Kluyveromyces lactis: one gene and its partners. The protein of the gene in region 2 binds, or shares a complex with, the protein of the main gene of each other region. Links are inferred from orthologs where the notes say so. Each region holds a gene or a part of one and is shown on either strand. Other genes may lie near its edges.

Evidence for each region. Proteins that work in one complex are often made in the same cells at the same time.
Region 1: the proteins of TIM9 (region 2) and TIM18 are in contact, whole or in part, in a cryo-EM structure (PDB 6LO8), measured with the Saccharomyces cerevisiae proteins. The link is inferred for Kluyveromyces lactis from reciprocal best matches to the Saccharomyces cerevisiae genes TIM9 and TIM18. Residues at the interface, in NP_010894.1 of Saccharomyces cerevisiae: Asp42, Thr44, Thr45, Ser46, Lys47, Leu48, Thr49, Asn50, Lys51; in NP_014940.4 of Saccharomyces cerevisiae: Val105, Asn107, Pro108, Glu165, Thr166, Lys167, Asn168, Asn169, Lys177.
Region 3: the proteins of TIM9 (region 2) and TIM10 are in contact, whole or in part, in a cryo-EM structure (PDB 6LO8), measured with the Saccharomyces cerevisiae proteins. The link is inferred for Kluyveromyces lactis from reciprocal best matches to the Saccharomyces cerevisiae genes TIM9 and TIM10. Residues at the interface, in NP_010894.1 of Saccharomyces cerevisiae: Glu17, Gln18, Gln20, Met21, Phe24, Met25, Tyr28, Ser29, Asn30, Leu31, Val32, Glu33, Cys35, Phe36, Thr37, Val40, Asn41, Asp42, Phe43, Thr44, Thr45, Ser46, Lys47, Leu48, Glu52, Gln53, Ile56, Met57, Ser60, Glu61; in NP_011869.1 of Saccharomyces cerevisiae: Gln16, Gln20, Leu28, Lys35, Asn39, Lys43, Cys61, Arg64, Cys65, Ala67, Lys68, Tyr69, Glu71, Thr72, Asn73, Gln75, Val76, Gly77, Asn79, Met80, Met83, Phe87.

What each region holds. Positions count from the first base shown.
Region 1 is NC_006042.1:2,329,380-2,334,332, forward strand, and holds TIM18 (Tim18p), read left to right. Parts: upstream 1-2,884; coding exon 2,885-3,466; downstream 3,467-4,953. Other genes in the region: GTPase-activating protein RNA1, read left to right, coding at 86-1,255; MUM3 (Mum3p), read right to left, coding at 1,410-2,426; alpha-factor pheromone receptor STE2, read left to right, coding at 4,109-4,953. UniProt on the Saccharomyces cerevisiae protein: Component of the TIM22 complex, a complex that mediates the import and insertion of multi-pass transmembrane proteins into the mitochondrial inner membrane.
Region 2 is NC_006041.1:2,033,126-2,037,857, forward strand, and holds TIM9 (protein transporter TIM9), read left to right. Parts: upstream 1-2,991; coding exon 2,992-3,255; downstream 3,256-4,732. Other genes in the region: KLLA0_E22749g (uncharacterized protein), read right to left, coding at 1-1,262; URA3 (orotidine-5'-phosphate decarboxylase), read left to right, coding at 1,870-2,673; ALF1 (Alf1p), read right to left, coding at 4,202-4,732. UniProt on the Saccharomyces cerevisiae protein: Mitochondrial intermembrane chaperone that participates in the import and insertion of multi-pass transmembrane proteins into the mitochondrial inner membrane.
Region 3 is NC_006042.1:2,401,721-2,406,205, forward strand, and holds TIM10 (protein transporter TIM10), read left to right. Parts: upstream 1-2,728; coding exon 2,729-2,998; downstream 2,999-4,485. Other genes in the region: RCO1 (Rco1p), read right to left, coding at 1-1,614; SDD2 (Sdd2p), read left to right, coding at 1,896-2,297; cytochrome c1 heme lyase CYT2, read right to left, coding at 3,296-4,111. UniProt on the Saccharomyces cerevisiae protein: Mitochondrial intermembrane chaperone that participates in the import and insertion of multi-pass transmembrane proteins into the mitochondrial inner membrane.

The sequences.
Region 1 (4,953 bases), on a different chromosome or scaffold from region 2:
GGATACAGCCTAAATTTAGTATCAAATACTCGTGAATCTGTCTCACTCGGTGTTCCTGATCGCTGACATTTCTCAATAGAAAACAATGTCGTTTAGCAAGGCTGGTTTACAGCAAAAATGGACTTCTGAAGAAGATATCAAAAGTGTTCTCGATGAGTTGAAATCGATGGACAAAGTTACCTCTTTGGATCTCTCAGGAAACACTATCGGTGTGGAAGCTTCAAGAGCTCTAGCTAAAACTATCAAAGAAAATGCTTCGATTCGTGATAACGTTGAAGAAGTGAATTTTGCGGACATGTACACCTCTAGATTGGTCGATGAGGTTGTCGAATCGCTACAACTGTTGTTGCCAGCTTTGCAAGCGTGTCCAAAATTGAGCAAAGTGGATTTATCAGATAATGCGTTCGGATTGCGTACTATTGACTCATTAGAAAAGTTCATCAGAGAAACTGTGCAGTTGAAACATCTGATTTTAGCTAACAACGGTATGGGTCCATTTGCGGGAGAAAGAATCGGTAAGGCCTTATATCAACTTGCCAAAAATAAGGAAAAGGCTGGTGAATCGCTGTTGGAAACATTTGTCTGCGGCAGAAATAGATTAGAAAATGGATCCACGCGTTGGCTATCTCAAGGTTTAAGAGCTCATGGTGATGATTTACATGCTGTTCGTTTATACCAAAACGGAATTAGACCACAGGGTTGTATTAATTTGATCAAACATGGGCTATCTCACAACAAAAACTTGCATGTATTAGATTTGCAAGATAATACATTCACTGCTGTTGCATCAGAGACACTTGCAAAATATTTAACTAATTGGGCTCAACTAAAGGAATTGAACTTGAACGATTGTTTGTTGAAGGGTCCTGGTTCTCATGCAGTCTTGAAAGTTTTGAAGGAGAATAAATTCGACGATTTAGAAACTTTGAAGTTGCAATACAATGAATTAACTCAACAGAGTTTAGAACATTTATTAATTCCTGCTTTACAAGATGGTAACTTACCATCATTGAAATTGTTGGAATTGAATGGTAATAGATTAGAAGAGGATTCCGATCCTTTATCGATATTACCTACTTTGTTCGACGGCGAATTAGATGAATTGGATGATTTGGAAGAAATTGACTCCGAAGAAGAGGAAGAAAGTGAAGACGAAGACGCCGAGGAAGAAGACGTGTGGGAACCAACACAATTTGTTAAGGATGAAACCGTCGATGAATTGGCATCCGAATTGGCAAAAACTCATTTAGAATAAATAAACTAATACTTATTGATCCTTGCATAAATGACGTCCTACATTCCAATTTCCTGTTGTAATGTAATAAATAGCTAAAACCTGAAACAGAACTCATTATATTTCTCGCAATACCATCAACCCGGAATGTACACATACAATATTGTATCATTTTTTAGACTATCTCCACGTTCAATTCAAAGGTATCTATCAATTTATCCTTAGCACACCACTGGGTTTCTAGCCAACTTTCTAGTTGTTTGGGTTTCTTTTTAGTGAGTTTATCAACATCATGGTACGATGCGTGGATGCATAGTATCATTGGTGATTCCAACGACCATATGTCCCATAGAGCTGGAATTGTTTGCTCCAACTTATACTCACCCATTGAGTTCAACGTGATCTTGTAATAAACCAAAGTTAAATCTAGTAACTTCATTGAGTCACGTAATATCGGTTCTGTCGGAAGAATAAGGTACTCCAACATGCGACACCATTTTCTGTCATTGCTGTTTGAAAAAGCTTTGATCAGATTTACGAAAGTACCAAATCTGGGGTATAGAACGTTATGCAAAACAGGTAATCCTTTGTATTTCAATTTCATTAACTTTCTTTCAATCAATTTAACTTCTGGTGTGAAGATATTCACCTCGGGAAATATTACCAAATTCTCAGGCCCATAAAACTTCTTAATCTTTGATACCGAAACGTTGTCATTCTCATCATGCCTGAATATTGTCCAAAAATGCTTAAAACTGGGATACTTCATTAAACGAGTCCAACCTGCGAAAATTACATTTTCAGCTCCGAACTGGGATTGAATCAAAGTATAATCGATAATTGATCTATGGTTGCTTAGTATTAGTTGGTTCTTACATTTTGTGTTGATTGTTTCCCCCTCGTAAATAATTTGGATATCTTCTCTTAGCACACTCCATATAATGAATTCATTAATCCATATATTAACCATGGTTTGAATCTTCTCAGTTTTCATAATACCCCTGTAATAATACTTTGATGAAATGATTCTGGACCATTGATTCATATACCATATCCACCCTGCTAGCACTGACTGAAGTATGAAAAGTATAAACAAAAACCATGAATAGGCCACACATTTTATAAGATGCTTGTCTTGTATCGAAAACCATGGTCCCGTGACATTTGTTTGCAACGTACTCAGTACAGACATGGTTTACTAGTTCTTCATCCTAACAGAAAACGATTGTAATGGATCGTTTTCTAGCTAGTTAGGAACAGTTTCTGTGTTTATTCCACACTGACACAGACTTTTTAACCATTTTGTTTTGTCGCATGACAAACAGTTTCAAGTGAAAAATAGGAAAACGTAAACAGTACGACCATCGTTTAGTTTACATTAGAAAAACTTGTCACCGATACATTGTAATTAGAATGTAAATTTTACGATTGAATTAATTCATAGAGCCTCTAACAGAAACCACTACCGCTATAACTGCCTTTCTGGTTATTCTGCATCTTCTGTATTCTTTTCAGATCTCATCAATTTTGCTCCAATCTCATTATCGATGATGAAGTGAAAAATGAAATATTTTTTGACTAAGCTCATCTCATCACTTCGCATACATCGAAAAGTACCTGAAAAGTAAGGATGGCAGCCAAGACGACATAATGATTGCCAGATCAATGATAAACAAGCCACTTCCAGTCATGTTAAGAACTTCTTTGCTTCATCGTCAGTTGAGAGGTATCAGGCTACCAGCTGTTTTTAGTTCCAGTAAGTTTGCGAAGTACAAGTTAATCCCACCACCTCCAGGCGGAGTTACCGGAAACGTAAACGATAACTTACCAAAGACAGAACCGAATTGGTTCCATGGGTCGTATCACTGGGATTATGAACGTATCACTGCAGTGTCGTTAGTTCCTTTGACAATGGTTCCTTTGTATGGAGCTATGTCTTCTGCTACCTTTGCATCAGGTTTCCCCTTCCCAGTGATTGATTCTCTATTGGCCAGTACAATACTAATACATGCGTACTTAGGTATAACAAGTTGCATTATTGACTATATCCCTAAGAGAAAATTCGGATTCTGGCACAAGGCTGCTAAATTCGCTTTGGCACTTGGAAGCTCCTTCAGTCTTTACGGAATTTATGTTTTAGAAACGGAAAATAACGGACTAATAGATTTGGTCTCTACTCTTTGGGATAAAGATAAGGGGGATTCGAGAGCATATGTATTTGGAAGGTTTTAGTGTGGTACTCTGTCCAAGCAATATGTAATTCATCGGAGAATTGACCTCCAAGCAGATTAGACTCTCATTTATTTATTATCATTATTATTTATTAGTGCTACATCTAGTGTTATTTATTCTTACCATAGTCTTAATTTAGTCTTTGAGTCTGATGATTCAGCTGGTCCTTTTCCTCGCCAAAAGTTCAAACGGGGTAAAGCAATCTAACTTTGAATAGACCATTTTGGGTATTTTGCTGTTCGTTTTTTTGCCCATGATTACATGCGTTTAAAGTTGTTGATCCAATCTCATTGTAACTGCCTTTTTTGGCAATCACATAGATTACAGCCGGTTTGACACAATTTAATGAAATAAAATCCTGAATGCAAAAGACTTTGCATTCGTCTCTGCTGAAGAAAAACCGCCTCAAGTTGAGGAGATTACTAAATGTGCTTTGGGTTTGAAACTTATTGAGGTTTTTTTTTTTTCATTCCTTCATGAAACTTATTCATGTCAAGAGAACATACTTCAAAAGTGACTATATAAAGGCACCTCTCTGTGATACAAGGTGAGATTGAGAGACTCAATGTTGATTTGACATCCTTCAAATTTTTACGTCAAAGTACCCTTAATGTTTTGACAATAAGCATTAACTTATTTAACATGTCAGAAGAGATACCCAGTTTGAACCCATTGTTCTACAATGAGACATATAATCCATTGCAGTCCGTCCTAACATACAGTTCAATTTACGGAGATGGGACTGAAATAACATTTCAACAGCTACAAAATCTTGTCCATGAAAACATCACCCAAGCAATTATTTTTGGAACAAGGATCGGCGCTGCTGGATTAGCGTTGATTATAATGTGGATGGTCTCTAAGAATAGAAAGACGCCGATATTCATAATAAATCAGAGTTCTTTGGTTCTTACAATTGTTCAATCTGCTTTATATCTATCATATTTGTTGAGCAATTTTGGAGGAGTTCCCTTTGCTCTAACTTTGTTCCCACAGATGATAGGCGACCGTGACAAACATCTTTACGGTGCCGTGACTCTAATTCAATGTCTATTGGTTGCGTGTATTGAGGTCTCGTTAGTCTTTCAGGTAAGAGTCATTTTCAAAGCAGATAGATATAGGAAGATAGGAATCATTTTGACTGGCGTCTCCGCTAGTTTTGGTGCTGCAACTGTAGCCATGTGGATGATTACTGCAATAAAATCTATTATTGTAGTGTATGATAGTCCATTGAACAAAGTTGACACATATTATTACAACATAGCAGTTATTTTACTTGCATGTTCAATAAATTTCATCACTCTTCTTCTATCAGTGAAACTTTTCCTGGCTTTCAGAGCTAGGAGACATTTAGGTTTGAAACAATTTGACTCATTTCACATTCTACTCATCATGTCTACTCAGACATTAATAGGTCCATCGGTTTTGTATATTCTCGCCTACGCGCTGAACAATAAAGGAGTTAAGTCGTTGACTTCTATTGCTAC
Region 2 (4,732 bases):
TAATCAAGCAAAAGAAGACCGGCAGTAGTTCCAGGAATAATTGCCAAAGTATTCCTAGTAAAACCTTTATATAACCAAGCAATGGTTTCTCTCTTACTTCTCTTCATGAAAAAGAACACATGCTCGAATGTATCCAAGTATGAGTTGTAATAGATGTGAAACCTACTACTGCCTTTGGGTATCCTTATTTTCGTATTTGGAATATTTCCTATAGTTGTACTAGACGTTGATGGTAGATTTTTGAGATAAATATCGTACGCTTCAAGTCTAGAGACGTGGATTTTCTGTAGCTTTAGGAACGGGAATTGCACCGATTGAAGAACAAAAGCTGCTGTAACACCTCCAATAAAAATGAAAACTCTTGAATACCACATTTCCTCTTTAGGAGAAATTAACCTTGGTTTCTTCGTTTCAATCTTATTACCATCTTCATCGAAAAATATATCCGAGAGTCTTGTGTTCTGCACCGTATATTTTAGTTCCCTATAATTCTTGATAAAATCTAACATCAATTGGCGAATTGGTCCTCTGATCATTTCAAAAGTAGTGAAATACAATGCAAAGCCAAAGGATTCTCTTATGAATGATAATCCAAACCCACCAAAGCAGCCAATCAAACCAATCTCTCTGATCTTATCACGACTATAAAGCCATAGATTATCATATTTTTTTGCGCTGGATAAAAGTTCATCAATGTTTGCTCTTGTATAAATGGCATCTATTGGAGCTGAGACAATGGCTTGTGCAGCACCTGCAAGGAATCCTGCTCTTAAAAAATCAAACATATTATGTTGAAAAGCTTGATCTGTAGCCCTCAACGGAAAATTATTCAAAGTGGCTAAATAAGTAGTGTATAGCACAACTCCCGCCAGCGAATTGGCTACTAATGGCGGTAAAATTCTGTCAGGTATGACTTTCCAACCATATCTGTTCAATGCTTTAGTGACGATTCCGATTGAAGAGTTCTCCAAATAATAAGTATACTTTGGATTCCAAAACCGATACCTCGAACTTCGTACTTTTGTCTCGGACTGTGTATTATCGCTACCTGTAAGAAGTACTCGAATGTAATGAGTATAGTCAAATCTAGCTGGTCTGAACAATTTTAACGGAGTCCTCATGTAAAAAGATGTTAGTTGATACACCATAGATCTTCCACCAGCAGTAGCAGCACCCACAAGAGAAGAGGTTTGGTTTGATAATGAATTGACATTTGCTTTATCTGAAACATCTTCCAATCTCTTGTTGGCATCAGAAGACATCACTGTCTCTTCCCCTTAATGATCACTTGAACAAAACTCCGATAGGGTATAGTCAATATGTGAAACTGGACACTATATCAAAGCAAAAAGTAGTGTTGGATGCTAAATGGGATCGTTTTATTTAGGTTCTATCGAGGAGAAAAAGCGACAAGAAGAGATAGACCATGGATAAATGATTATGTTCTAAACACTCCTCAGAAGCTCATCGAACTGTCATCCTGCGTGAAGATTAAAATCCAACTTAGAAATTTCGAGCTTACGGAGACAATCATATGGGAGAAGCAATTGGAAGATAGAAAAAAGGTACTCGGTACATAAATATATGTGATTCTGGGTAGAAGATCGGTCTGCATTGGATGGTGGTAACGCATTTTTTTACACACATTACTTGCCTCGAGCATCAAATGGTGGTTATTCGTGGATCTATATCACGTGATTTGCTTAAGAATTGTCGTTCATGGTGACACTTTTAGCTTTGACATGATTAAGCTCATCTCAATTGATGTTATCTAAAGTCATTTCAACTATCTAAGATGTGGTTGTGATTGGGCCATTTTGTGAAAGCCAGTACGCCAGCGTCAATACACTCCCGTCAATTAGTTGCACCATGTCCACAAAATCATATACCAGTAGAGCTGAGACTCATGCAAGTCCGGTTGCATCGAAACTTTTACGTTTAATGGATGAAAAGAAGACCAATTTGTGTGCTTCTCTTGACGTTCGTTCGACTGATGAGCTATTGAAACTTGTTGAAACGTTGGGTCCATACATTTGCCTTTTGAAAACACACGTTGATATCTTGGATGATTTCAGTTATGAGGGTACTGTCGTTCCATTGAAAGCATTGGCAGAGAAATACAAGTTCTTGATATTTGAGGACAGAAAATTCGCCGATATCGGTAACACAGTCAAATTACAATATACATCGGGCGTTTACCGTATCGCAGAATGGTCTGATATCACCAACGCCCACGGGGTTACTGGTGCTGGTATTGTTGCTGGCTTGAAACAAGGTGCGCAAGAGGTCACCAAAGAACCAAGGGGATTATTGATGCTTGCTGAATTGTCTTCCAAGGGTTCTCTAGCACACGGTGAATATACTAAGGGTACCGTTGATATTGCAAAGAGTGATAAAGATTTCGTTATTGGGTTCATTGCTCAGAACGATATGGGAGGAAGAGAAGAAGGGTTTGATTGGCTAATCATGACCCCAGGTGTAGGTTTAGACGACAAAGGCGATGCATTGGGTCAGCAGTACAGAACCGTCGACGAAGTTGTAAGTGGTGGATCAGATATCATCATTGTTGGCAGAGGACTTTTCGCCAAGGGTAGAGATCCTAAGGTTGAAGGTGAAAGATACAGAAATGCTGGATGGGAAGCGTACCAAAAGAGAATCAGCGCTCCCCATTAATTATACAGGAAACTTAATAGAACAAATCACATATTTAATCTAATAGCCACCTGCATTGGCACGGTGCAACACTACTTCAACTTCATCTTACAAAAAGATCACGTGATCTGTTGTATTGAACTGAAAATTTTTTGTTTGCTTCTCTCTCTCTCTTTCATTATGTGAGATTTAAAAACCAGAAACTACATCATCGAAAAAGAGTTTTAAACCATTACAACCATTGCGATAAGCCCTCTCAAACTTCCTCCAGACTGTTTGTCATCCAATTGGTAAGATTAATTATCATATACCCCGGATAAGAAAAGAAGCAAGCACACAATGGATCAACTTAATGGTAAGGAACAACAAGAGTTCCAAAAAATCGTGGAACAAAAGCAAATGAAGGATTTCATGCGTCTATACTCCAACTTGGTCGAAAGATGTTTCAGCGACTGTGTCAACGACTTCACATCCGCTAAGCTTACTTCTAAGGAACAAAACTGTATAATGAGATGTTCAGAAAAGTTCTTGAAACACAGTGAACGTGTGGGTCAACGTTTCCAAGAGCAAAATGCTGCCATGAATCAAACCATGGGTCGTTAAAAGGTTTAAAGAAGAAATTCTCCCTACCAACCTCAAATTTTATTCTGTACATACTTCATTATATTATAACATTATATTATAACATTATATCATAACATTTTATCGTAGCTACTACGATTACCATAGATTTTAAGGACTATCTCTCCCATGTATATTCATTCTGTTTCTGTATATAGAAAGGTTTGCATTTCATTGCCATATGACTGGCCAAAAAAAGATGCTCCTCAGACACAAGGTAATCGGTATTGTGTTATCTGCGTAAGTTGCAGACTCCCTGCATTGCACTCAACTAGGCATTGTCGTAAATGACAAGCTAAACTGTCCGTCCGTTGTCCCTCCCATGTCACGTGGTCTCCATTAGAGAAGAACTGGCGACTTGATTTATTATAACAACGACAATAGGGCTCAAGCTGAAGTTCCATTAGAAACAACCTTCTCACGAAGCGAAAATCCCGTTAGGGATTTGCTTGATTATAACTCACCGGGGGTTTGAACCCTCGGCGAGCGGACAGCTGCGTTCCACCGAATTTCCCACCTGGAATGAGGAGAACAACTCCTCTGATCAAGTAGAACATTCAAATCACATGACCTCTTCTCAAAACACTTCAAAGTAACGAGCATCCACCTTATACTTAAGAGTGAATATTCTTTGAAGCGCTTCAAGGGCTTAGTATGAAGTTGAGAACAGGAAATGAATTGCCATATTTGATCTTTTTGTAACCAGGTTCATATGAACAGAGACTTTGTGTTCTGAGGAAGATTCGAACCGAAGTCGCAACGTGGCCTTTTTACCAGCTACGGCACAACACCCGACTCAAACCAATTACGAATTCATTCAGTAGTAGACCCTGTCACGTGTGTGTCAGGTGTCATTTCCGTAGTTCAGAGTATCATCCACGAGGCCAAGGACGAGAATATAATTAAACTTATGTAAATTATCAACTCCCTATAACTCATCATCTGTGAGCATCAATTCATCGTCAGCTAATGGCGTGAATTGAGGACCTACTTCAACAACGGCAGGTCTCACAAACCCGCCGTAATTCTTTTTTACTGGTCCGAAATACTTCGTTCCTTGGAATGTACCATTGTTCTTACCGTCAGGTTCGTCAAATTCAATTCCACACCATACATCTGTATTACTGATCTCTTGAACTTTTCCCACGTATCGTAACCATCCTCTTCTTTCGGGGACCTTGGTGGAATCGGTCGTTGTTTCCTCGTTGGACAGTACTCTGCATCTTTCTCCAACGTGTTTTTGTAATAGTTCTGCCTTATCGATATTCAGTTGTAGTTGTTCTTCCATCTTAGAGCGGTATTCAGGATTAAATTTCCCTAACTTGTTATCTTTTTTCCATTGTAATACAGAATCCCTTCTGTTCTCATAATCGTCCATGGTGTATCGGAACGAAACGTCATCGCTATTAGCATGTAGCAAATCATTTTTCAATTGGCTTGCTAAACTGTTTTCGTTGGT
Region 3 (4,485 bases), on a different chromosome or scaffold from region 2:
GTCTAAAATCGTAGAATGCTGACACAAGTCTTCAAACTGCTGTACACGTTTCGCCTGATAAACCTTATCTAAAAACTCTAGTGCGACATTCTGTTCTGTAAGTTTTGATAAAGTCCAGGAGTCCGCATCTATTGCTATTTCTGTATCTCCGTTGTTTCTACTTCCTATTGGAAGTACTATATATTTCTGTTTTCCCCTTGCTAAACGTCTTTTGTATGATTTTGGTAATGGGGCATGCAACGGGCATTTCCACTTCGATCCCAGGTTTTTCAAGGATGCTCTAGGCAGTGGAAGACAATCTAAGTGCCATGGTGTTGAACAGTAATCGCAAGTCATTATCAGTCGTTGGGAGTCCGGATGGTCCCATGTTCCCATCTTTGATTCTCCACAATTATAGCACACTAAAAGTTCTCCAGAATCCTGGTTGAAATGATACTCTGGCTGATAAGAATCCATCCGTGTGACAGACTGCCCGTACGCGGAATGAAAAATTTGTTTTTCATTGATATTTTCTTTAAAGTGTTCGTCACGATATTCTCCTTGCGACCCCGAGGAGACCGAATCGAACGTTGATTTGATAATAGACGGCAATTGAAATTGGAACGGATTTTTCCTTTGAAGATCAAATGTTAGAGTACCGAATAACTGATACCCGGGTTGCTTGAAATGGTCTTGTAAAAACCTTGTTTTCAACTTTTTTTCAGAGGACAGTCCGTATTTATTAGACTTGATCCATTGCTTGAATCGGCATTCATCACAAGACCAATCACCTTCTGGTAGATGGCTTGGATCCAAAGGTGGGTTACAGCAAGCAAAATGGAAAGATTTTGGACAAGTGTCACAGCATAAGAACACCCCAGGACCATGACAGTTGGAACAAAAATCGTCATTTTCCTTGTTATTATCCGGATCAATTTCTGGAATATGTAAATGAGAAGCTTTATCATTTTGTCCAAATAACTTGGTATCTTTATCCTTGGTAGATTTCAACCTTTTCGCCATTTTTAGTGCTATCGATTTACTGGGCGAATTTCGTATAGGATCCTGTAGCATAAAATCCGAGTCAGCCTCTTGTTTAATTCCTGAATTTTTGTTGTGTTTAGTGGGAGTGTTCGCTCCTATGCGTTCATGACTTTGTACGGTCAATTCATTTGATTTTTCAGTTTGTAGTTGTCCCTCATATTTAGCCTCCATGCTGCTCTTTAATGCCTGTAATATATTGGATTTCTTCTTCTTATTGTTACCATTTCTGTGTTTACCACTTCTATTATTGCTATCATCATTGTCGTTATTATTGATGTTATTGGTACTATTATTATTGTTACTGTTGTTGTTACTCGATCCCTTCGGCTTCTGAGATAATGGCGTCCCTGTCATAGCATTTATTGGATCATGCACTGGCGGCTCCTGAAACGTTATATTTCCATTACTATCCTTAAGAATGACTGGTCCAATAGGTTCTGTCGATGGTTCTTGGGACGGTGATGAAGATATTGAGGATGTACTTTTCGTTGGATAATCATCACTTGGAATAATCCGTCTCTTTTTCAGATTATAATCCACATTGGCAGTACCTGACCGTTTGGGCCTCGTTACCTCCATATTTTTTGTCATGAAGCCGGAAAGTAGATGTACTGGCACGTAATTTTTTTAGCCGGTACTTTCCCCTACTCGTTGTTTCGCGTTGAACCATAATTTAATTCAATTGTTAGATGCGTTCAATTAAATTTGTATCGCACTTTTTTATTTTTTTTCTGTATTCCAATATCACGAACCTTCGATAGTTGAAGTCGTATACACATACCAGCTATATCAATGATAATGGAATCAAAATGTATATAGTTACGGGAACAGGCTGAGGCGTCACCAGTCACATTAAAATAATAGAAGCAACCATGGACGACGAATTGAGAGCCATTAGAGAGGCCAGATTGAGGGAATTGAAGCAACAAAGTGGAGGAACATCAGAATCAGCAAACAACGGATCGAATGATGGTCAAACACAAGCGATATTGAATCAGATTTTGGATTCCAATGCACAAGAAAGATTGAGCAGGGTAGCGTTGGTGCGGCCAGAACGTGTAAAGGCAGTAGAAGCTTATTTACTACAAATGGTGCGGTCCGGTGCTATTAGAAACAAATTAACAGAGCAGGACATCGTTGGAATCCTCGAATCAGTCGGAAGAGATGAGCAAAAGCGCAATACTACACGTATTATATTCGATAGAAGAGAAAAAGGAACAGCATCATCTAGTGTGGATCAAGATGACGATGAAGACGATGATTTCTTTGACTAGTTATCTGTCTTCAATATATCAGGTTTTAACAGAGAAAGAAAGTAAGATATACATGCATATATAATTACAACGAATGAGAACTCAATCCTCATAAGTACCAAATAATTGCAAGAATCGGTAGTTCCAAAGGTTCAATGACTACTATAGGTCAATGCTCCCTCTGTCAAATCAATACATGTCCAAATCACGTGCATGTGACCGGGTAACGTATATTTCCTCATATTTCTGAAAATTTTCAGTATAGCAACTATTCGTCAGGAATTGCAGTTCACTAAAATTTAACTAATAGCAGTTAAATGCGTTGACAACTAGACTGTTGTTTGATCTGTAAATATTTATTGACGTAGTTTATCGTAGTGATTAGTCTTCTATTCATAGCCACAGGAATACCACTCCTACAATAACAACATATAAAAATCATCTTCTAAGAAATGTTCGGTCTAGGCGGTCAACCTCAATTATCTTCTCAACAAAAGCTATCAGCAGCTGAAGCTGAACTAGATTTGGTTACTGACATGTTCAACAAGTTGGTCGACAACTGTCACAAGAAATGTATTGAACAAATTTATAACGATGGTCAACTAAACAAGAACGAATCTACTTGTATCGACAGATGTGTTGCCAAGTACTTTGAAACTAACGTTAAGGTTGGTGAAAACATGCAACAGCTAGGCCAAGCTTTCTCTCCAGGTAAATTCTAAACCCGATGAGGGAAGCTTAAGCCGGGACGTTAGTGCATAATCTTTTTCGCAACTTTTCACGTTTTATCATGTACATATATGACAAATTTTGTATATACAAATATATTATATATATATATTAATTATCTATTTACAGAGTTTTAAAAATGAGGTAATGTCGGAGTACCAAACGATTAGGTTTGTGTATCTCGATCAAACCGATAAATATAGAGATATAAATGTATTTGCTAATACCGTGATGTGTTTTTGTCCATTATCTTCCCTTAGGATTGAAAATTTGGACGATCCCTTCTGTCTTTAAAATCCTAGCATTTTCATAACGCGTAATTTACAACCTTCAAAAGTATTCACTTTTGGTCTAACGTCCAAATATATTGGAGGAAGGTGGTTCTTTTCAGGTTCTGGATTCGAATAGAAGTCGATGACATAATCTATTTGTTTCCCGCAGCGATCGACGACCCAATCGTGCCTATCAAAAGGTTTGGTCATTCCAAGGATTGAGGATCTAAACCATGCTCTTGGGGTTAACTTCTTTGAATCGCCTTTGAAACTAGTCAATTTGATGCCACCACAGACATCTCCCCCTTGTCCGTCTTCCCAAATTTTGATATAATTCCATACTCTTTCATTAACGGAATTGTGGATGGGAACAACGGCTTTCATATCCACAGCTTCGGGATCCCAATTTTTTCTCTTCATTGCCTCGAAGAATTGCTTCTCTGATGGATAAACCCAATTATCCGATGTTCCGGTTCTAGGAATGGAGGATTTCTCTCTCTCTGTTGGCAAATTAACAGCTGTGGTATATTTCGGGTGTTCAGGTATCTCATCACTTGAACATTCGACATCCTCAGTGATGATCGATATGATTGGTGCTGGTGCTGCTGCAACTGCAGCACCGCCAGCAGAGCCATTAACGGTCTGTAGATGGTTTTTCAGCCATACATCCTGGGAAGAATGGTCTACCGGACAAACTCCTGACCCTTCAGAACTAGCCGGTGGATGATTTGGAGGTAGTGCTTTTGCTGATTCATTCTTATTATTAGTGCTCTGTTGTTTCAACCACACTTCCTTCGTGGAGTCATCCACAGGACACTTAGGCTGTTCTGGCATTCTTTTGCACTCCACAGTTAGCTTCTAAACAGTCGCGAATCCCCTTTAAGCCGCCAACGATGTTGCTTCTATATTTCGAACTATTGCGTTCAAGCCTATCCTGATGAAATGCGCATGAATAAGCTTTCCTGTATTCGCATGTTCTGCATACTTTTCCATTTCATTCATTTCTTTTCAATTGATATCAAATTGATGAAGTTTCAGAATGAAATTGATATCCACGGGAGATGACATTTCATTACCCGAATGTGCGACAAACATCCTTGTTTCTCACGTGACTTGACCTCCAGATGGAGACAGCTCTCCGTTGTACATAGCAATCGATCTTGCAGCCACCGTTAACATATTGTGGTGCAGTAATTACCTGCAGAGCG